Linked DNA regions of Cricetulus griseus. Each later gene encodes a partner of the first gene's protein in a complex. Links are inferred from orthologs where the notes say so. Each region holds a gene or a part of one and is shown on either strand. Other genes may lie near its edges. The genes, in order: CCR4-NOT transcription complex subunit 2, Cnot7, Cnot8, Cnot11, Cnot10 and Cnot9.

Region 1 (3,500 bases):
AACACATGAAATTGCAGAATTTCTTAAAGGCATATTTGTATGTGCAAGTTTCACAAATATGCCCTTAATGAATTTGACAACAGTTTGTATTATGTAACATCTCATTTGTTATAATCATTAACATAGTTTATTGTAACATAGTAATATGAAAAATACAAAAAGATACTCAAAATACTAAATTTTAGACTAGAACTTTTGTTGAAAATCAAGAGTCCATTTGCAGTGAGTTATTAGGTCATTTTAAAATGTTTTAGATTGCAAACTCCAGAAGATGGATACCAATTTCATTCCTGATGGCAATGAATTTCCTTCTTCTGAATTTTCTTATTAGGTGCACTAGGCCTTCCAATGAGGGGGATGAGCAACAATACCCCTCAGTTAAATCGCAGCTTATCACAAGGCACTCAGTTACCGAGCCACGTCACGCCAACAACAGGGGTACCAACAATGTCACTTCACACGCCTCCATCTCCAAGCAGGTATTTATTAATGGACCAGAATATTTTCAGATTGTATTTTTGTAGAGTAATCCGAGCTTTAATTTTTTAATACAGTAATTAGTTACTTGATTTTCTGGTTCAGTGCCTTGCACTAAGAAAACAGTTCCTATGCTCATTTTGTTTCATTGCAAAGTGATAAGTATAGTGTAGTGTTTGATCTTGAAGCTATGTGCTAGTTGTCATCTGAATGGATCAAGGTTTAATCACCTCCTGGGGAGCTTTTACAAAAGCTATATATATATATATATATATATATATATATATCTCTTCCTCAATGATGTTCAATTAAAAATGACTCCCCAGATTTGTTTGCTCCCTCACCACACATCTATTGCTTAATTAGAGTAAAATAAAACAGATAACATATATGTATTATTAATATCAAGAGAATAGAATGATAATGAAATTTGAATGAAATTATTTTAGATATATATGGAAAACATTTATATTTTATATCAGAGTTGTCCCAGTAGTTCTCTATGACAGCACCTTTTAAAGTTTCACTATAAAATTAGGAATACAACTGAAATGTATATTTGGAATTCTAGGGGTTAGAGCAACTGATTATTTATAGAGAATTTTAATGAGTGATTGTAGAGAGCTTATTTAGTATAATGGACTTCTTTTTCAGGGGTATTTTGCCTATGAATCCTAGGAATATGATGAACCACTCCCAGGTTGGTCAGGGCATTGGAATTCCTAGCAGGACAAATAGCATGAGCAGTTCAGGGTTAGGTAGCCCCAACAGAAGCTCGCCAAGCATAATATGTATGCCAAAGCAGCAGCCTTCTCGACAGCCTTTTACTGTGAACAGGTAAGATGTTTATTGATACTGCATATATTGCCTTTTCATATCCAGCCCTCTGTTTCTGAGTTGTGGCTTCTGTGCTACAGGTGTGTTTATCATGTATGTGTGAGCTAAGATCATTGCCCATCACAGTCCTTAACCTCTGAAAGATGTTATTATTTCAAAAAGCATGTTAAATCTGTTGCTGATGGTAGTACCAGAAAGGGAATGTTCTTGGGTTGTCACCAAGCAAAATTTTACTGTTTTATCCTTCCATTTGTTATTAAGTAAAGTTTATCTACTTGAGTTGTGGGTTTATGAACATGACTGGAGGCAGGCATGCTTGATTGCTACTGCCATGCTTGAGTTATGCGTTGTTTAGATGCCTTCTGAGCTGAAATACTTTGGGTACTTACTAAGGAAAGACTTCACAATTATACTATTTCAAAACAGTACTCTTAAATTTTGTGTCTAGAGTTACAAAACAAAACAGAAAGCTGGTGTGTATGGTTTTTTTTTTTTTTTCATTTTGTGCTATCCACTGCATGTACTGTACAAATAAGAACAATGATTCATTTTGCTAGTATGTTGAAGTGGTTTGGGTAACAAGAGAGTTGTATCTGAAATGTAAGGCTTCCTTACAAAAGCAACATAGTAAGTTTGAGTTGTGTGTCATATTCTGTTTATACTTAATTTTTATGAAAAACTATACAGTGAAAGGACCTTCATTTAGTTGTTGCTCCCCTTCATCTCAATCAGTTTCTTTTATCCACTGTCAAATCTACACTAAAATCAGTGCTTAGCACACTTTCTGTTCAACCTTTATCCCATAAACTCCATTATTCTATACAGGTTTTACATACCTAAGTTTTTAAAAAATTATTTGCAGCATGTTGTTGCTGCTCTTACCTTTTTATTTTTATAGCGTCCTAACTATTGCTTGGGCTTTATTGTATCTTTCTGCATTCTTGTTCATTGAAGATATTTTTAAATTTAAAGTTTTGCTTTTATTTTTCACATTTTAATTATTCAGAAAATACTTTCTGTAAAAAGTGTCACTGTAATAAAACTTTTAATCCCTGCTTCTATGTGCTGCTGATATATAAAATTGTTTCATTTGAATTCTGAATCCATGTTTGAGGTACCTATACAACCAGCAGCTCTAGTGTAATAGGAAAAAAAAAAAGTTTATTTATACTACTGTGCCCTGGAATGTTGGTTCGCTAGCTGCATAGCTTTTCAAAGATGGCTAGTTCTACAGACTTAGACAGAATGGTTACATCTTTTACCTTCAAATGCTTGGCCCTGTTCACCGGCATGCTGACCTATCAGAATACTACTGAGTGATAGAGATGGTGCATAGTTTCTTTATAGAAACTTATTTAGATTCTGTCTTTTTTTGTTTTGCCCTGATTAGGTTTGTACAAAAAAGAAAAAGGGGGTTAAATGTAATTGTTTGCAGAAATTGAGTTGTACATTAATTCAAAATTAGGGGTGCTATAGAAAGATTTTTTTCTGTTAAGTAGATGAAAACTAAGCTCGCTTTGTCTGTCTGTCTGTCTGTCTGTCTGTCTACCTGTCTACCTATCATCTGTCTATCTGAAATGATGTTTTAGAACACTGAATTCAGTTTTCTTTTTTTTTGAGTACCTGGTCAGTTTAACTCAGGTCAAATGCAGAGTGAATAAGACATGGACTCATGGGAGCGAGTAGTTGGGAAAGACAGAGGTTGTAAAGAGAAGACTTAACACTGAAAAGCAAGCTTGACCAGTCAGGGAAGAAAAAGCAAGTTTTGGTGCAGCGGGGTGGGGTAATCTTAAACCTACCTGCATTCTGAGGGCGGTGCGCTAATGGTACCCTTAACCTCTGTTCTTCAACATTCATAAATACATTCTTTTTTTGTTTTTAAGATTAATTTATTTAAACTTTGGTTCTTTCTTGTTCATTGAAGAATTTTAGAGAAGTTTTTAAATAAAAGTGAAGATTATACTCTAAATTAGCATTGGTTTTGAAACATATTGTTATTTTATATGAGGAGACCAAAAGTATATACTTTTGTTTTTCTTCATCTCTAAGTTAGTGTTCTTACTGTATATCTAAAATTATTTTCTATGTACCCAGTATGTCTGGATTTGGAATGAACAGGAATCAGGCATTTGGAATGAATAACTCCTTATCAAGTAACATTTTTAATGGAACAGGTAAGCTAATCC
Region 2 (3,500 bases), on another chromosome or scaffold:
GAATTCTCCTGCTAAACTAAAACATAATTTTCTTAGTATCACAAGTTTTTAAAAAAGTGCTTCTCTGAGGGTGCTTGCTTAAAATAGGAATATCTATACATAGACATTCCATGTATTAGAGGTATAACTTATCCATAATTGGGGCTGAAACTTTCTGTTTGGGCAGAGAGGGTTACTTTATAGGCAGCAAAAAATTCCTAGTTGTCATTTATTTCTTGGATGATAAGGAATTGCAGTACAGAAATAATAACAGCCTGTAAGAGGGAGTGGGAATCTTGACATGATTTCTGTGGGTTTTCTTTTCCTTGGATACGAAGCAAATGTTTGCTTGAGTTTATCATGAGTTATCTGTACAGGGTAATAATTTATTGATAAATTTTAATAAGAAAAAGTAGTGAGTCCGAGGCCAGCCTGGTCTACAAAGGGAGTGCCAGGACGGGCTCCAAAGCTACAAAGAAACCCTGTCTGGAAAAAAAAATAAATAATATTCTTCATACTTGAAGAGTACCTAATTGAGTATGAACATACAGAATATCATTGTAATAGAATTCTCTGAATTATATCTGAAATTATCTTGAGAGTTTATGGATCCTATTTATGCCCATTTAGTAAATAATGAATCTTAAAATTATTTTTCAGGACACTGAGTTTCCAGGTGTTGTTGCAAGGCCCATTGGAGAATTCAGGAGCAATGCTGACTATCAATACCAACTATTGCGATGTAATGTAGACTTGTTAAAGATAATTCAGCTAGGACTGACATTTATGAATGAGCAAGGAGAATACCCTCCAGGAACTTCAACTTGGCAGTTTAATTTTAAATTTAATTTGACGTAAGTGGGAAATAAATATATAACCCCAACTTTTTGTTTCTAGTTTAATTTTAGGAATTGGGTTTAAATGTAGTGAAATTCTAACTGAATAAATTTCCCGGAAATTTATTAAATTTAGAGTTTCAAAAGCTTAGGCTTATTATTATGAGGCAAAAGGGATTGAGATAATAAAAGCTTCTAATTTCAAATACCATTCAGTGATAGAGATGTTATTTCTAAACTGTGACTGCTGCTTTTCCAGAAAGTTGTAAAATTGTATTTTTGTTGTTGTTTGCTGTTATTTAAGGTGCTGCAGATTAAACCTGGGTCCTAAAACATGAATCTTAGGATATTGATTTTACTATTACATTTTGTTGTTGTTTGGCTCTTTTGAGACAGGGTCTTACTACATAGCCCAGGTCTCTACGTAGACCATGCTGGCCTCAAACTCCCAGAGATCCATCTGCTTCTGCTTCCCAAATGCTAGGATTAAAGGTGTGTGTTACTACACCTAAAACTTTGACTTTTTTGTACCCAATATGAAATTCAAAAGTGGGGAGGCACATTTGCTGCTCCCAATCAAGCAGGTACCATTCAGCTACAACCCCATCCCACTGTAGATTTGTTAAGATTTTGTTGAAATAGTCACTGTTCCTGTGAAGAGATTTTTTATTTTATTACTCTCATACTTTGCATCTTAAGTAGATACTTACTTACCATATGCAATAAATTGTTTCTTGGAAAGTTAGTTATGTTTTCTTTTCAAACTCTGTTCTTTAATGACTGCTCCCATGTAACCCATGAAACCTCTTGATCTTCATACAGAAAATGTAATAGTATTCTTAAACTTTTCATATACCAGACTCTGATATGTAATTCAAATCTTGGGTCTAAAGTCTGTTGCCTTCATTTAAATAGTTCTACATTATTTATTGTAGTCTTGGTAGCTGAGGGAACTTCATGAAGTAGAGTCCATCCTTTTGACATTATGACACATGTTTTTATTTGCAAAGGTCATACTCAAGAACCATGCAGTTGAGATTTTAGCAATGAAAACAAAAATAACAAAATTTTTAAAAAGTTTACACTTTTGTGTTGGGCTACATTGATAACTCATGGAGCTTATGTGACTTCTGAACTTCAGATTATAAGTTCCCAATAGGGGACAGGGGCGTATTATTTCTATTAAGGTAAGGAAATAAAACATACAGTATATTCTGCACTATGTAACAATATTTTAGTGCCTTTCTGTTTGGTAGCCTGTATTTGTATAATAGCAGAGTCTCGTTGGAAACATAGCAACAGAAACGAGAAGAAAATTAATGCTAGTTAATTGTAAGAATTCCTTGATTAATATGCACTATTTAATGTGTAAGACCTAATGAATAGCAAGCAGGACTGATGGTTTTAGTGGTGTTAGTGTCAGTGGTACAGCTGTGTGTCTTTTAAATGCATTGTGCTAACTATAAATAATACTGACAGTATTTTAATGTCTAGTACTATAGTGACATTAGTCTCTGTAGACTCTATACAGGCTAAAAGTGCTCATCTCCACTGTAATGTTATAATGTTTCTTTAATACTACAAATCTAGAGCAAACTGAAAATTGCCTTCCATCCTTTTCTCAAATGAAGATTCTTTTCTTTAGTTTTTTGTCATTTTTATTTCTTTAAAGTTCTTTTTTCCCCCCAAACTAAACATTAGAGCATTGATTTAGTTTTTTTGTTGTTGTTTTTTTTTTTTTAGTTTTGTTTGTTTATTTAAAATAAGATACTTGGTTTGGAGCAGTACTTAATACATCAGTGTGTTGGATGGTAAAATTGGTAGTTTTTGCTAGATAGTAGTTTTTATAGCAGTGGCTTTCATTTTAGTTAGTGTCTGAGCATGTTTTGTTTTTCCTTATTCACACAAGTAGTTTCACTGCCAAGTGTGTGCTACTATTTATACTAATGATAATGCCATGAGAAATGGTAGAGAAAAGAGTATAGAGTATAAAGGCTGATGAAAGGGCTCAGTGCATAGATGCCCTCCACCATGCTTGTTGACCTAAGTATGATTCTCGAACTGATATGGTAGGAGAGAACTGACTGACTAAAGTTGTGCTTTAACCTTCACATGTGTCTGTGATGAACATGTATAGGCACACACACACACAAAATAGATAAAGGTGAAGTTTAAAAAGTTTTAGAAGACTAAGTGAAAAATGTTAAGTAGAGCAAAAGCCATTGAGAAGATAAAAATGGAACTGCCTGATGTGGAAAATGTCGTGATAGCATCTTGGATGTGTTGAAGAATGGTGAAATAGACCTTGATGAATGCCTAGAAGGAATGTGTCAGTGTGTTAGGCTCTACAGTACAATGAGGAATGTTGTTCAATGTTATTATAACTTTCTGTCCTCTCTGTTGTCTCTGCTTGTAAATGTTTTTTGTGCTTAATTCTCATACTGGTCCAAGTCAGGGTGGTTCTAGGTTTGCCAGTGTTGTTTCTGGTTTTACCATTAGCATCATGAGAGTAAATGCAAGTCATTATTTATCACATGTAGATAACAAAGATTTGGAATATGGAAAGATATTTGTGGTTACAGTATATGTGTCACATTAATCGATACTTTGAGAAGATTTGAATAGATACTTCAGAGTATTGTACATACAATAAGAAATACCTGCACTCACTTCGATTTTTAGTTA
Region 3 (4,173 bases), on another chromosome or scaffold:
CCAAGGCATCGTTACTGAGAGCCACTCTGCTGCCTTCACCACAGTCCTCACAGGTATGTCAAGTGCAAACCTGCCAGCCAAAGTTCTAGATCTTCAGGTACAGTGGTGCAGACCTACACTCCTTGCTATTCAGAAGGACGGCTTAGAGGTCAGGGCCAGCTTATGTAACTTAAGACCCCCTAGAGGATTCTAGAGAATCCTCTAGAAGGGCCCCAATACTTGACTGACAGCTTTACCTTTTTTGTGAACAGAAAAGGCTGGGGGGGGGGGAAATCAATTAGGAAGTGTTAAGTTCAAATGCCCTACAGAATTCCACTGAGTAACCCACTGTGAGTAGCCAGGGAGAATACAATTAAAGCTACTCTACCGTCCGAAGGCCCAACAGCCAGCAGGGTATGAAGCTTCCTCAATGAGACCTTCCTTCCAAGGCTGACTGGTTCTGAGGTAAGCCAATCCCATCACAGATACCAGATCCTAGCTACCAAAGACCACACCTCATGCCAGTGGTTAAAAAGCAATCTTTATTTTACAAAATTAAAAACATAAATAATATTTACAAGCATCTTAAATATCAGCTTTAATAGTTGACATTTTGTAATCATTTCAAATTCAGTTTCCCACAAGCTTTTAAGATGTAAGACCACTCCTGCTTCAGGGAGCTGCTGCCGTCTGTCTCCGCCTTCCAAAGAAGTTTCTGCTTTCTCAAAATTGTACTTTCTGTAGTCATTTTTAAAAAGTGTGCTTCCAAAATGCCTAACCTTAAAAAAAAATCATCGGCTTCTGACAGCTGTGGGATGACTCTCAGAGGTCTGAGGTGAAGTCTCTTACTGCCCTGCTCACAAGTGACTCCTGTGACTTTCCTAGCATTCCGGAGCTCAGCTTTACCACCACTTGACATCTCCGGCTTGCTAAGTAAAAGCATGGGAATGGAAGCTAAGAGAACACAGCTGATTGAGATCACCCTGCTGAGAACAAAATGGACATGGAGCATGACCTAGTCGAGGGCAGTTCATCCGAAAACTAAGGTGACTTGAGGTGAGGCTCAGCTGCCAGCTTAATGCCACAAAAAGGAGACTCAGAACTTTCCAGGTTTCAGAACAGTCAGGACTGCTCTGTCCTGGAGAAGTTTGACAAAAGCAGGGCAGAGCCTGCTGTTGCGGACCTACTTCCCAAGAACATACACCATGTTCCCTGGCAGCCTCAGCTCATCTGAGAATCTTCATCAGAGCAGCAAAGCCAAAAGAAAAAAGAATGACAACGTGTAAGAGTCATATACATTTTACTGGTTTGTTTCAGACATCCTGGAGGTTTAAAAAGGTGTCCATGAAGCCATGGATGCTGGTGGCAGGAGGCAGCAGAGGGACGTGGGCATGAGGAAAAGGAAGACTTGTTTACAAATTCAGAGCAAACCCCCTTCTTCTGGATCTAAAATAAAGGCATCTTTAAACAGAAACCCAAAGTCTCTGCTTAGAGCAGATGCAGGTCAATGGCTGGGGCGGATGGCACAGATGGCACGGTGCACGCGCTATCACTGCTGCATGTTGTTGATCATGGCCAGGATGCTCATCTTCTCCTGGGCAGAGTCCACATCCTCATTCTGCTTCTGAGCCACTCCCGTGCCCAGGCCATAGAGGCGCCCACAGTACTTGGCATCATCAATACTGTCCTCAAAGAATAGCTGCAGAACAGGACAGAATCAGCTGAGAATGGGGCCAGAAGTCATGCCACCTCCCAGCTTCTCAAGCCCTGACACTCAGCAGACTGGACACTAAATCAGCAATGACACCAAACATCTCTCACGAAGGCTTTTCCTGTTCCTTTCCCTACACTGGGGCTCTGCTTCCTCAACAGACTTGGCATTCCTATGATTTGTCACTGCTGGGGACCATGGGCTACTGCCAAGCAAAGCAGTGATTACGAACTCAGGCTTGCCAAGTTACTTCAACTCCATTCCATCTTGGTTCCTTATCCACAAAAAGGAAAGCTAGGTGAGGTGGCACACACATGTAATCCTAGCACCCGAGAAGCTAAGATGTGACTGAAAAGATCACGGACAATGAACACTCAACCTTAACATCACTGGGCAGAAGCTGCCCAGTCCAATCACAAGATGCTGAGCACAGCCCTGGTCAGAAGCACCATCTCTGCTAAGTATAACAAGAAACATTCCATGCCAGGCAGTGGTAGTATACGCCTTTAATCCCAGCACTCGGGAGACAGAGGCAGGCAGATCTCTGTGAGTTCAAGGCCAGCCTGGTCTGCAAGAGCTAGTTTCAGGAGAGCCTCCAAAGCCACAGAGAAGCCCTGTCTCAAAAAAACAAAAAACAAAAACAAAAACAAAAAAATAAATAAATAAATAAAAAAGAAAAAGAAAAAAGGAAACATCTCCAAGGCATCACCAAATGTGCCAGTTGGCAACCACTTTTACAATTGTTACAATTGTTACTATTTAGATCTAAAATGTTCCTAGAAGTCCTGTTGACAGCTTAGCACCAACTTGTAGGGTTACTAGGAAATGGTAAAAACTTGAGGAGGTGAAACTTAGTAGAGGGATGTGAAGTTGTCAGGGCCAGGCCCTGTACTCAGCCTCTTCCTCTGTTCCCAAGCCACCAGAAGAACAGGCCTTAGCACTCTGATGATCTAGCTTGCTGGAGCAGACAGAGCCAATCACTGGCTAAAATATCTCATGTTGTAAACCAAAATAAACTAGTCTTTTGAAGTTGATGGCTTCAGTTATTTTGTCAACGCCACAGAAAACTAGTTAAATAAAAACCTGAACTCATAATAATGGTAAAAGCACAAAAAAAAAAAAAAAAAAAAAAAAAAGAAATACTAACTAGACATGGCAGCTCACAGCCGTAATCCCAGATTTTAGGAGGCTGAGGCAAGGAGATAGTCATGGGTTCAAGGACAGGCATATGCCTTTAATCCCAACATTCAAGAGCAGAACAAGTATATCTCATATACATAAGAGTTTAAAGCCAACAGGGCTACACAGACACAAGAAAAAAACAAGAAAAATGTCAACAAAATTGTAATTTTCTTTTTTCCTTGAGGTGGGGTTTCTCTAGATAGCCCTGACTGTACTTGAACTCATGAGACCCACCTGTCTCTGCCTCCCAAGTGCTGGCTGGGGCTAAAGGTATGCACCACCACTGCCCAGCTTTCATGGTAATTTTTCAAAGCATATTCTTCCTCTTTAAACATTTTAGAACTTAAAAGAGTAGGTAAATACACTAGAAGAGAAATTCACTCTTCATTAGAGAAATAATCCTTGGCCCAAGTGGGTAGACTAACAGCATTCCTACAGTAGAAAGCAGAAGGAAATAAAGGGGAAGCTGCCTGGAAACGAAGAGCCCTCACACTGACACATTACCTCTTTCATCCTGAAGAAAGCCATCCCCGTCAACAAGGAGTCTGAGCCTGCTTGATGCTGCCTTCCAATTCTCTGCAAATCCAACTGGTCAGCCACCTCCTGAAGACCTCCCTAGAGGACAGAAAACAAGAGATGTCACATACCAACACTATTCTGAACTCAAGTAAGACTACTCATGAGTCCATTTAGCAGTGGGCCATTCATCTAACAAGCCTCAGTAGGTAGACATTTTTCAGATTTTCACTCTCCTTCCCAAACAATACACTATGTGCTTGCAGAGATGAGAAGACAACTTTCCCAAGTCAGTTCTCTCCTACCACAAGGGTTACAGAGATCAAACTCAGGTCCATCAAGTTTGGCAGCAGGCACCTTCACCCACTCAGCCATCTCACAGGTCCAACTTCTTGAACTTTTTGTTTTGTTTTTCAGAAACACGGTTTCTCTGTGTAGCCCTGGCTGTCCTATAGAACTCACTCTGTGGACCAGGCTGGCCTCAAATTCACAGAGATCTGCCTGCCTCTGCCTTCCAGGTGCTGGGATTAAAGGCATGCAATACCACCATCGGGCCTTCTTAAACTTTTAAAGTTTAAAAAAAAAAAAAAAAAAACCTTGGAGAATGTGGGACAGTGCAGGACTGTCATAACATACTGCACATGACTTCATGTCACCAACTGCTTTGTGAGGTTCTCAGGCAGCCAGCCTCAAGATACAAGAAATAGGGCTCTTTTGATGCTCAAGTTCCAACAAAGACAGTTACAGAGGAAGCCCTGAGCCACTCAGCTTTATCGATACCCTCT
Region 4 (4,046 bases), on another chromosome or scaffold:
GGGAGGGATCATTTGGAGTGCAGTGAAGTTAAAAACAACAACAACAACAAAACTTAGAACTTTTGGTTGCCCCTCCCCTGTGTGTCTGTGTGTGTGTGTGGGGGGGGGGGTGATCCTCTCTACGAATAGGCTGCATTTTCCTAGCTGGTGAGCTCCCGCACAGCTGCAACAGCTGGCGGCGCCCGCACAGCTGGCTGAGGGAGGTACCTGAGAGCGGGGGCCGGTCGGGCTCCTGTCCGCCGCGGGCGGGCGGCGCCGGGTTGAGCAGGTGCGCGAAGCTGGCGGCGAACGGGTTGGCGGCGAGCGGCTCGGTGCGGTACATCTCCCACAGCAGGTAGAGGGCCGTCAGACGCTGCGCCGCGCTGGGCAGCAGGTCCGGCTGCTGCAGCAGCATCACCAAGACCGAGCCCAGGCGGAAGTGGTCGGCCTTGCTGAAGTAGTGGTGGAAGGCGGTGGACAGGCCCTCGAAAGTGCTGCCGCCGCCCGCCTCCTCAGAGATGATGTTAAGCAGGCTCGAGAGTTCCTTCGGGCTCAGGCTCATCCTGCCCGCGGGGCCCCCGGGGCCTCCACTCCCTGGCCCGGGGCCACCTGCTCCGCCTCGGCCTCCGCTCGAGCCCGCTGGACCGCTCCGGAACGCCGCCGCCGCCTCCCGCGCTCCTCTTTGATCCGCTGCGGAGAGAAGCCGGCCAGACGCCGTGCTCGCCCCGCCGCCGGGCATCAACTTCGCCCGCCCGCTCGCTCGCCCTCCCTGCTTCCCGGCTCCAAGGCCCTGGCACCGGCTGGCTGCTTCCCCCGCGGCCGTAAAGCGCACCGTTACACGACAGCGTCGCAAACAAAACAGCGCGGAAGTCAAGACGATCGGAACCGAGAAACAGTGCAGATCGATAGAGCCAGGCCGAGCCCAGGTTCCGGAGACGCGAGGTGGGCGGGGCGCCACGTCCGGAAGTGGGAGGGGCGCTCTGGAGGGCGGGCCCGTAGACGGAGATGGGTTCGTCTAGTCTTGCCTTGCTTGTACTGTGTAAGGTAGGGTGGGCGAGGGTGTGGTTAAAGCCAGCGAAGGCTATCTCTGGGTGGTGGGTGGTGCCAAACCGGCCCAGTAAATGTTGCCTAAGTTGTGATTTGAAAAACGGGCCTTAAATGCTTAACTGGCTTCATAGGACAGTCTTGATGGTTCGTGGTGAAATTATATGCAAATAAAAAACAGGTTTCTCATAACCAGTTTAAATCTCAAGGCTTCCTCATATTCTCAGAGATGGGATCGTATTGCACATAAGTGTTTGTGCATGGCTAGGTAAACAAAAATCTGGCACTAGGGACCTGGCACTAGGGAAGCAGAAGCATGCACATCTCTGTGAGTTCGAGGCTAGGCTGGTCTACATGGTGAGTTTCGGAATAGCCAGAATTACATAGAAAAACGATGTCTCAAAAACAAACAAACAAATAAATAAATAAATAAATAAATAAATAGAAGGAAACAAAAATCTGTGAAAGAGTATCAAGAAATACTCGTTTACTCAAGAAATACTGATCTACAGAGCAAGTTCTAGGACAGGCTCCAAAGCTACAGAGAAACCCTGTCTCAACAAACAAAAACAAAAAAAGAAAGGTTAAAAAGCCCCAAGAAAAAACATAGATGAGGAGAAACAGGTTAATTTAAGTTAAAAGAAAAAAAGAAAACAGCTAGCCAGAAGTTAGCATAAGCTAAGGCCAAAGCATTCACAACTAATACTAAGTCTCCCCTGTGTCATGATTTAGGAGCTGGTTGGTGGCCCGAAAGAAAAAGCCTAGTATGTTTGCTCCTGTGGGGAGCCCATCCTCGTGCTCCTGTAAGCAGCCACCCCAGTTGCACTCATTGGCTCACCCAGCTACACTTGAGGTCTGGTTTTGGTGCAATACCTAGAGTAAATAGATAAACAGGGACATAAAAGAACCAAAGATGCATCTGAAAGGAGAATTTGTGTTTTCTCTGCTGTGGGTGATGAGATCTACCACTGAGCTGAGCCCTCTGAGGGTGAGCAAACACCAAGCAATCCCAGTGAGGCTTTTCCTCTGTGGTATGGACTGGCCTGCTTTGTTGCTGCAGTAACAATTGCATTAACCCTACTGTTTCATTTTCATGCCCTACATTTCATCCTACTGTGGCTGAAAAGATAGAAGAAAGGCTGCTCCAAGGCAGGATGGAGTGTCCATGAGGAGGATCCCATAATGGCCGTCTTCTTCTATGCAGTACAGAGCGGGATGCCTCCTTAATGAATGGGGATGCCCCATATTGTCCCATATGACTTACAGACCAAAGGATAGATTGTAATCCCCAAATGCAGCGGGTGTAGGACAGGGTTGTAAGCACGATGTGGTATCAGTTGCATGGCCCTTGTTTTGATATAAGACATGCAACTGGAGGCTATGTCATCTGCCCAGGTAAGGGAGAAATTACAATGAGAAGAACAATTATGGTGCTGTCCTTCACATTAGCCTCTAAGCTGACAGGAGAAGTCAAGGAACCGAAAAAGAAGAAGGAGATGGAGGCACTGGATTGTTGTTTCTTATTGCTGGGGATGGAGAACACTAGAGGAAAGAAAATACAAAATAAATCTGTACGAAACAGGCCCTCTTGGGATCCAAAACTTTGGAATCTGTGAGAAGAATCAGACAGTAGGAGAAAGTGAGGTGATGTGATAAGAGAGAGCCCTCGGGTCTAACCTTTATTGCGGAGAAGGGAAATCCATGGCACGTGTGGGTGGAGCCTTGGTGTCAGCCCAGTACAGGAAACTATGGTGGTCAGGGAGTAGTCTGCCTTTGAACTCTTTAAATGAAAAAAAAAACAAATAAGAAAAAAATTTAAATAAGACATGAAGGCAAATGAAAAAAGGAAATGAAAAAAGGAGGACACAGTAGGGTGGAAGAGAAGGTTTATTGTAGCTATGTCAGAGAGCATACCAGAGACAGAGACATCTGGGAGAGTCCAGAATGGACATGACCAGCAGACAGAGCTGTCCCATGTGAGGAGAGATGGAGAGGCAAAGCAGGAGATCTGGAGCCTAGCAGCCAGGAGGCAAAGGGGCCAGCCTAGTCAAAATAGCTGGATTATACAGGGAAGAGCCTCTGAGGGAAGGGCGGCCCAGCCCCTGGGCTGGAGAGTTCAGGACAGGGGGACTGAGGGATTCGGGGAGAATCTAGCAGCCATATATATTTTGATATGTTCGATAGGCACGTCAGTTTACCATTCGTCCCAGGTCTGAGATCTAACAGAGGGTCAGCAAGATGGCTCAGCAGGTAAATAAAGGCACTTGTCATCAACCCTGATGTTTGATCTCCAGAACCATCGTGGTGGAAGGAGAGAACCCTCTCCCACATAGTATCCTCTGACTTACACACATGTACCATAGCACACGCTAAAAATAGAAATGAAAGCCTTTCACCCTGGCTTGTGAGACTTGGGATGTAGGCTCAGAAGGGATGGATCTGAGTGCTGTGAGAGCTAAGAAAGAGTATTATAGCTACCCAGCCTCCCAAAGACAAAGGCTGCATGATCTGAGACAACGGGAGAGAAACCAGTCCCTGGTGGACTGACCCTATGAGCCCTTAGGAACACTTCTTTAATACTAACTGAGGTCCCAAAGCATATCAGAGACTAGAGAATAATAGAAGAATATATATATATTATATATATATATATATATATATATATATGTGGGAGGGAACGTATCCTTGGCAAGTAATCAAGTTAGTTTTGTACTTGCTCTGTAGCACAGAATACTTTCCAATGCTCATCCTCCTGTCTCAGCTTCCCACCATGCCCAGCTCCATTTGGGGTCATTCCAAACCACACACCTCTAAGAATATCTGACATAGTAGTTCACTGTGAGTGTCTGAGGATATCCAAACGCATTACTGAATTGAGGGGGTTTCTAATCTGGGTGTCTAATGAGATGAAAGCTTGGCCATTCACGATCTCTTTTGTAGATATGAGGGCTGACGTCTCTGCCCTGTATAGAGGACTGGCCCAGCCAGGCCATGGGACATGTTCATGTCCAGCTTCAGTATTG
Region 5 (3,500 bases), on another chromosome or scaffold:
CAATAATTTTCACAAAAATAAATGTATCCAAATGACTTACACTGAACTTTATATTCTCTTAGCCACAGTACAGATTCATAGTATTTTGTGAACTGTTGGCAGAATTCAGAAAAGCACTGTCAATGCTTTCAGTGGGGACCAATTCTGACATAGCTTCATGGAGGGACTTAGTTCTTGTCACACAGTCCCTACCACTGCCTCTCTCCTGGCCAGTCTACCAGTCACCAAGCCATCAGGACTGAAAGAGACAGGCAACTTAAAACAGTTCCCTAGAGTCAGTTACCAGCTGCTCAATGAGTTGTCAAAGGGCTACATATCCTCTTCCCAAGTGTCACAGGGGCACAGGGACCACACTCCACCACCTGCTGTATAGGAACCACCAACAGACCAGTGTTCAGAGCCTCGGATGTCTCCTTCATGGTCTGATCTAACACAACGAGCAGACTCCTTGTGGACTGGTGCTCTCTAACCACATACCAGCCTGCTGCTCATCTGCTGGCTCCTCTCTTCTCCTCAGACTCCAACCTCCCCAATTCTTAAGGCCAGTATCAGAAATAAAACACAAACCTGTATTAGCTCTCTACATGCAGAAATTTCAGCAGGGCAACAGAGAAACGAAATACTACACTGTCCTCTAACACTCCAATGTTAAAATGGTCTTTTAAAACTTTGGGCTGGAGAGATGCACAGAGGTTAAAAGCACCGACTGCTCTTCCACAGGTCTGAGTTCAATTCCCAGCAACCACATGGTGGCTCACAACCATCCGTTATGAGATTTGGCGCTCTCTTCTGGTGTGCAGATATACATGGAAGCAGAATGTTGTATACATAATAAATAAATAAAATCCTTAAAAAAATCTTTAAAAAATGTTTACTTTATGCATATGAATGTTTTGCCTTTGTGTATGTATGTGTAAACCTAGTGCATGCTGAGGAAAAATGTAGGCCTGGGAACTAAACCCCGATTCTCTGCAAGAGCAGCAAGTGCTCCAAAACACCAAGCATCACTCCAGCCCTCCCCATCTTTTCTCAAGTGTGCCATGGTAAAAAGGCTCTAGTCATTAAGGGAGTATGCAATAGCAAAGAAAGGACAAACATCTTTCTACTCTCCAAAAGGTCATTCCTTCCCTTCCCTTCCTCCTCCTACCCTCCTTCCTTTTTGATAGGATCTCATGAAATCCAGGCTGTCCTCAAACCCAGTAAGTGTCAGAGGATGACCCTGAACAACTGGTCTACCGGATATTTTGGGCCCCTTTAAAACTCAGGTGAGGAGTGCTAAAGGAAACAGGACTTCTCTAAATGTCATAGAAGTTTATCTATTCTAAAATTAAATTTAGAAAGGCTTAAACAGCTTTATTTTGATCATTTTATATGTGTGTGCTCAGGTATGCAGTTGCATGTGTGCATGCATGTGTAGAAGACAAGAGGGATCTCTGGGTTGATCCTTAGTGACCGTTCGTTCTCTTTAGTTGTTTTACCTGCCTATATGTGCCTGAGGAGGCCAGAAGAGGGCTTCAGATTTTCTGAGAGTGACAGATGATTGTGAGCAGCTATGTGGGTGCTGCGAATTGAACTCATGTCCTAGGAGAACAGCCAGTGCTCTGAACTGTTGAGCCATCTCTCTAGACCTTGACTCTAGTTTTCTGAGACAGGTATCTCAATAGCCTAGCGCTTAAGCAGGCCGGGCCATCTAGCCAGCAAACTCAAGAGATCCACCTCTATCTGCCCCCAGCACTATATTACAAGCATATACTACCATGTTAGCTGTTTTTAGGTGGCTTCTAGGCATTGAACCCAGCCAGGTCCTTACATTTGCAAGGCAAGCATTCTGCTGACCGAGCTATTCCCATTAAACGCTGACATACAGCTTTAGTTTAGGTCATCTAGAAAAAAAAAAAAAAAAAAAAAAAAGCTAGAAAGGATGAATTTCTGGCCCGACAGATAACATACCAAAAGGTTCTATGAACTGATAGAGTTTTTCACCAACAGATATGGCCTCTGTATACTGCCGCAGATGATAAAGAATGACTGCTTGATTATAATACAACATGCTGTTTTCAACATCATCTAATCCATCCATTTCTTCAACAGCTGAGTGAACCTACAAAACAATCCAGGCAGAATGTGCTCTTAACAACAGTTAAGAAAACAACCTGCAAAAATGAAAGAATTCAGCCGGACGTATAGCACACCCCTGTAACCTCAGCACCTACAAAGCCCAGGCAGGAGAACTACTATTCTAAGTTCAAGGTCAGCCAAGGCAAAACAGTGAGTTCCAGGCCAATCTTTTGAGTAGCTGCGAGTGCAGATGTGTGCTACCATGCCCAGCTCCAACACTTCTTTTTCTTATTTTCCTACGTTTTAATAGTACCTTCACCAGGCTGGTGGCACACCCCCTAATCCCAACACTGAGAAGCAGGGACAGGCAGATCCCTGAGTTCAAGGCCAGCCTGGTCTACAGAGCAAGTTCCAGGACCGCCAGGGCTACACAGAGAAACCCTGTCTCTAAAACAAAATACAAAACAACAAAAAAAAGTACCTTCAGGTTTTCTTTTTTTTTTCTTTTTGGTTTTTGAGACAGGGTTTCTCTGTGGCTTTTGAGCCTATCCTGGAATTTGCTCTTGTAGACCAGACTGGTCTCGAACTCACAGAGATCCCCCTGCCTCTGCCTCCCAAGTGCTGGGATTAAAGGCGTGCACCACCCACGCCCGGCTTAGGTTTTCTTTTTAATTTAAAAAATGTATTTATTTGTATTTTATATATGAGTATTCTGCATACCAGAAGAGGGCACCAGATCTCATTATAGATGCTTGTGAGCCATCATGTCGTCACTGGGAGTTGAACTCAGGACCTCTGGAAGTTCTTAACCACTGAGCCATCTCTCCAGCCAAAGTAACTCTAGGTTTTAATTAGTCCCAAATACTAGAAATTATTTTTATCTGTTTCATTCACATTGAAATCCTATTAGACAAAACATTTTGAATCTCACTTACACAGCAAGTTCCAGGCCAGTCAAAGCTACACAGGGAGAATGCAGATATTTACCTTACAAATATGGGAGACCAGAATTGTAATTATGCTGTCCAAGACCAAGGGAGCATATCTAAGGACTTAGTCCCACAGTAAAAACGAACAGATGCTGTGAGCTGCCATGTGTGCTGGGTCTTCTCAAGAGCAGTAAGTGCTCTGAGTGCTAAGCCATCTCTCCTGCCTATCTTTCCATTTTTGAAAATAAAATAGCCCCAGATGACCTCAGACACACAGCAATCCTCCTGCCTCATCTTAACAAGTGTAGGGATTATATTGTATTTTATTATCATTGCTTTTTTTGTTTGTTTGGAACAGGGTCTCACTATACAGTGTTGGCTGTCCTTGAACTCAGAGTACTGCCTCCTGAGTGCTAGGGTTAAAGGCAGGCACATGCCTGGCTTGGCCTAGAAGACACTTTGTAAACCAGGCTGCCCTTAATCTCTTTATATTTCACAAGTCTCTAATTTACG
Region 6 (3,929 bases), on another chromosome or scaffold:
AGAACCTAGCCAAAGACCAACTATTTAGTTTTGGGGGTTTTCTTTTCCTCATTTACTTACTGAGTACGTGTATGTGCCATGGTGCATGTGTGAAAGTTAAGAGAATGACCTGTGGGAGTTATTTCTCTTTTCCCACCAGTGGGTTCTGTCAACAAACTCAGGTCACCAGGCTTGGAGGCAAGCATCTCATCTTTTTTTTTTTTTTTTAAACATCAGTAGCATTCTACTTTTTTACATGGTATGAGCATGTGTGTGGTATATATATGTGTGCACAGAGAGCTCCTCAATCATTCCTGGCCATATTCCTTCCAGGCGAGGCTAGTAGTTAGCAACCCCTAGTGATTATTGATTCTCTAACCCCAGAGCTGTCTGGGGTTGCACACATGGGAGTCACAGCTGACTTTTTATGTGAGTGCTGGGATTTGACCTCTCACCTGCTTAGCCATGTCCGTTTATGCCCTTACACTTACTAATTTTGTAAATAGCCCTTCATTGTTTTCTGCCCACGATAGGAAAAAAAACAAAACACTTTTTTTGATAACAGATATTAGAATATATTCCATAATGACAAGAGCACACTACCTCAGTGTCTTTTGCTACTGTTTCTCTAGTAAATAACACCTGCATTCATTGCCCTTTAATAGTACTTCCTATCTCCCTAGCTATATATAGTAAAGAGGAACAACCCCCAAACTGACTCTGACCTCCACACATGCACACCCACAATATGAACACATACACACTAGTTTTCATTATTAAACAAAAACCAAGCGCCTTCTCAAAAGATTTAGGTTTTTGTGGGTATTGCTGCATGTGATCCTAGTACATCATAATTTTGTTTTTCTTGCTCAGATCAAAATAACATAAGGAGTTTGGATGCTTATGGGAATACGGGATTATGAAGGAACTGCCTCAATTTTTTTTCCCCTCGAGACAGAGTTTCTCCGTATTGCTTTGGAGGTTATCTTGAAACTTGATCTGTAGACCAGGCTGGCCTCGAACTCACAGAGATCCTCCTGCCTCTGCCTCCCGAGTGCTGGGATTAAAGGCATGCGGCACCAACGCCCGCTGCCTCAAATTTTTATTCTTCAGTATCCTCACTAAATATCCTACCAGATGAGTGGTACAAAAGAACTTGTCAGAGCCGCCACGTGGGTCAAACAGCATAACAAATGTTCAAGTTTTTTAATCTATGTACAGCACTGCAAATATAATTGAAGAAATACATACTGAGAACTTTTTTTTTTCCGTTTTGCCTTGGCAGCCCTCTATTTGTTCTGTGAAACAAGCTGGCCTCAAACACAGAGATTCACCTGCCTCTGCCTTCCAAGTGCTGGGATTTAAAGCATGCGCCATTACCAGGCTTGTAAGTGTTCTTAAATTATCCCTCTTTCCATACGGTTGTCAGAGTGCATAGTGCTTACCTTGTAGGAACTGTTCTAGCAGTGGGAAAACCAAGTAAACAGAATTCACACACACACACACAATCCTGTCCCTGACCCCGAGAGGGAGACAGACATCCCACAAGTTAAATAATCCAGTAATTACACACTGGAAAATCAATACAAGAGTAAATGTTGGGGTTAGAAGCTACTGTGAACATGGTCAGAAAGTCACTCTGGGGACAGACTTGTATGTATGGAGGCAGTCCTAAGAAGGACAATTCCAGGCAAAGAAACTAGAGACTGTGTCATTCAGTGGAAAAGTGCATGCACTTTTGGTCGGAGCTTAAGGAGCAAGTGACAAAAACGGAGCCCATTAAAACGTGACTAAGGACCACATCATACGGGGCTTGTAGGCCAAAGCATCTACTTTCTCTAAAAGTAACCAAAAGCCACAGGATGACTTCAGGGAGGTGTAATACGGCGACTAGCTTTTCTTGTTAAAAGATAAAACGAGATGTGCGAGGAAGGCTTTAAACGCAGAGGACCGTAAGCCAGAAGGAATCATCCTGAACTCCGGGGCTCCGGCTTTTGAGCTAGAAGCCGTGTCCTTCCCACTGAGATTGTGCCTAGGCGACGTGTTCCCGGAGCCGGGGCCCAGAGCGAATGGCCATGGAATGATATTCTTATCCCCGCCGAGGCCCGGCACTCGACCGTGGCCCCCAGAAACTGACGCCGGGCTCACGTGAATCAATGAATGGCCTGCCGAGGCCGCGCGGGGACCAGGCCGCGGCGCCGGAAAAGAACGCGAGAGGCCGCGCGCAAGGGGCCAGGAGAAGAGACGGACGCGGCGGCAGGGATAGCTGGGAGGGTCGGACTCCGCCACGGCCAGGGCGCCGTGTGGAGACTCCCGGACCTCGCGGCCAGGGGCAGAAGCAGCTGGACTCGGGGCCCGGCTCCGGGAACTAGGAAGCGGGCTGAGACGGGCATCCGGGCGCAGCCACTCACCGCCGCCGTCGCCAGGCTGTGCATGTTGGGAGCGGCCGCCGCTCTCCTCCTCCCGCCCGACGCGCCGGACCCGCGTCCCAGCTTCAGCGGCTGTGCAGCCGGAGATGAAGAGCCGCCATCCGCCTCCGGCTCGCTCCTCCCCCTTGGCAGCCCTCTGACCTCTCACCTCTGACCCTCCACCCACACAGCCCCTTCCCGCCTCCTGGCCCTCGGCCTAGCTAATAGTCCCAGAGTATGTACGCCCTTTGACACTCGAGAGTCAGGATCAGAACGACGTCTGCAACCTACGGGTCCTAGTAACCCCCCGGCATCGCAGGTATATCCCCAGAGGAGCGCGGACCCTGACTTCCCTCCTAAGGCCAGAGAAGGGCGGGAAAAGGCCGGCGGTATGGAAGGACGCGAACTGCGCATGCTCCACCGGGCTGAGCCGAGCGAAGGGAAAATGGTGGGAGGTCCGAAGTCGGTAAAATGGAGAGTGCGCATGTGTCCTACGGTTCCGTCACGGCAGGGGCCGGGCCGCCCGGGTGAGGGGCAGGGCTCGGGGAGGGGCGGGCCGAGGGCTCGGGGGCGGGGCTTGAGCGCTGACGCGCACGCGCCCGGACTGGCTGCGTCGGGAGTGCGTGCGTGCGTACGTGTTTGCGTATAGTCACAGTTCCCGCCATCAGCGGGTTTAGGAGTGTAGAGGAGAGCACGGCCTCCCTTTCTGGGTCCAGGGGAGCCCCCTTCCTTCCGAGCCCCTCGGCTCCTCCCCCTCTGCGGAAACCCTGTGCTTCTGGCTGGCCCGTCCTAGGCTGGGACCCTCCGGCACAGGTAAGGCGGGCCGGGACAGCCTGTGAATTGAGCCGTTTTCCCCAGCCTCACCCCCCCCCCCCCACAGCCGGCGGTCCGCCCACTCCGGAGTTCGCCCGGCTGCTGCTCAGCCCGCCCCGGGTCCCTGGACGCTCCCCGGGTCCCTTACAGGTGCGCCCATTGGAGTGTCTCCCCTCCACTTTCCCTCTCCTTCAACACGGTCCGTATTGCCACTCGCTTTCCGCGTTCTAAGCCCGGCTCCTGTTGAGCAGGGCTGCGGTGGTCTCGGCTTGCCTCCTAACAAGGCCTGCTGTCTTTACAGGTGACTTCCCGTGGCCACACACCAGACCTTGGATGTGTGATACTCATTCGCCCTCTGGGCCCTTCGTTACTTCCCTCCTCCTCTTAAAAACTGTTCATTGAAAGTCAGGGAGTGGAATGCTTGTCGTGCATTTATTTGGTTGCCTCCAGTATCTAGCCAACACCGGCGATGTCCAATTTACCAATTTTAAATCAAGTTCCCTGTCTTTGGAGAGTTGTGCTGTAATGGTTTTCGGGTGTATTTTGGCGAGCTACAGTCCCTTATGAGTCCAGCTGAAAGAGAATATTAAGGAGCAATTTGGGTTTATTGGGTTAAAGGTAAGAGGAAGGTTCTGGGCCAGACATACAAATAAATACATGTGTGTTTGTATGTTATGTGAGTCACTTGCCATGTTAAATTTGGGACATGCCTATGCATGACATTGCCTA

The links.
Region 2: CCR4-NOT transcription complex subunit 2 (region 1) and Cnot7 share a complex: the UniProt entries of both Homo sapiens proteins name them as parts of the CCR4-NOT complex. The link is inferred for Cricetulus griseus from reciprocal best matches to the Homo sapiens genes CNOT2 and CNOT7.
Region 3: CCR4-NOT transcription complex subunit 2 (region 1) and Cnot8 share a complex: the UniProt entries of both Homo sapiens proteins name them as parts of the CCR4-NOT complex. The link is inferred for Cricetulus griseus from reciprocal best matches to the Homo sapiens genes CNOT2 and CNOT8.
Region 4: CCR4-NOT transcription complex subunit 2 (region 1) and Cnot11 share a complex: the UniProt entries of both Homo sapiens proteins name them as parts of the CCR4-NOT complex. The link is inferred for Cricetulus griseus from reciprocal best matches to the Homo sapiens genes CNOT2 and CNOT11.
Region 5: CCR4-NOT transcription complex subunit 2 (region 1) and Cnot10 share a complex: the UniProt entries of both Homo sapiens proteins name them as parts of the CCR4-NOT complex. The link is inferred for Cricetulus griseus from reciprocal best matches to the Homo sapiens genes CNOT2 and CNOT10.
Region 6: CCR4-NOT transcription complex subunit 2 (region 1) and Cnot9 share a complex: the UniProt entries of both Homo sapiens proteins name them as parts of the CCR4-NOT complex. The link is inferred for Cricetulus griseus from reciprocal best matches to the Homo sapiens genes CNOT2 and CNOT9.

Annotation. Positions count from the first base shown.
Region 1 is NW_023276806.1:139,743,795-139,747,294, forward strand, and holds part of CCR4-NOT transcription complex subunit 2, read left to right. Parts: intron 1-331; coding exon 332-479; intron 480-1,131; coding exon 1,132-1,314; intron 1,315-3,408; coding exon 3,409-3,488; intron 3,489-3,500. UniProt on the Homo sapiens protein: Component of the CCR4-NOT complex which is one of the major cellular mRNA deadenylases and is linked to various cellular processes including bulk mRNA degradation, miRNA-mediated repression, translational repression during translational initiation and general transcription regulation.
Region 2 is NW_023276807.1:45,216,052-45,219,551, forward strand, and holds part of Cnot7 (CCR4-NOT transcription complex subunit 7), read left to right. Parts: intron 1-639; coding exon 640-833; intron 834-3,500. UniProt on the Homo sapiens protein: Has 3'-5' poly(A) exoribonuclease activity for synthetic poly(A) RNA substrate. Its function seems to be partially redundant with that of CNOT8.
Region 3 is NC_048600.1:72,177,965-72,182,137, reverse strand, and holds the end of Cnot8 (CCR4-NOT transcription complex subunit 8), read right to left. Parts: intron 3,488-4,173; coding exon 3,377-3,487; intron 1,679-3,376; coding exon 1,529-1,678; 3' UTR 501-1,528; downstream 1-500. UniProt on the Homo sapiens protein: Has 3'-5' poly(A) exoribonuclease activity for synthetic poly(A) RNA substrate. Its function seems to be partially redundant with that of CNOT7.
Region 4 is NW_023276807.1:8,702,280-8,706,325, forward strand, and holds the start of Cnot11 (CCR4-NOT transcription complex subunit 11), read right to left. Parts: upstream 2,801-4,046; 5' UTR 2,701-2,800; intron 1,015-2,700; 5' UTR 719-1,014; coding exon 208-718; intron 1-207. UniProt on the Homo sapiens protein: Component of the CCR4-NOT complex which is one of the major cellular mRNA deadenylases and is linked to various cellular processes including bulk mRNA degradation, miRNA-mediated repression, translational repression during translational initiation and general transcription regulation.
Region 5 is NC_048597.1:221,687,502-221,691,001, forward strand, and holds part of Cnot10 (CCR4-NOT transcription complex subunit 10), read right to left. Parts: intron 2,102-3,500; coding exon 1,951-2,101; intron 1-1,950. UniProt on the Homo sapiens protein: Component of the CCR4-NOT complex which is one of the major cellular mRNA deadenylases and is linked to various cellular processes including bulk mRNA degradation, miRNA-mediated repression, translational repression during translational initiation and general transcription regulation.
Region 6 is NC_048595.1:427,755,938-427,759,866, reverse strand, and holds the start of Cnot9 (CCR4-NOT transcription complex subunit 9), read right to left. Parts: upstream 2,801-3,929; 5' UTR 2,415-2,800; coding exon 2,391-2,414; intron 1-2,390. UniProt on the Homo sapiens protein: Component of the CCR4-NOT complex which is one of the major cellular mRNA deadenylases and is linked to various cellular processes including bulk mRNA degradation, miRNA-mediated repression, translational repression during translational initiation and general transcription regulation.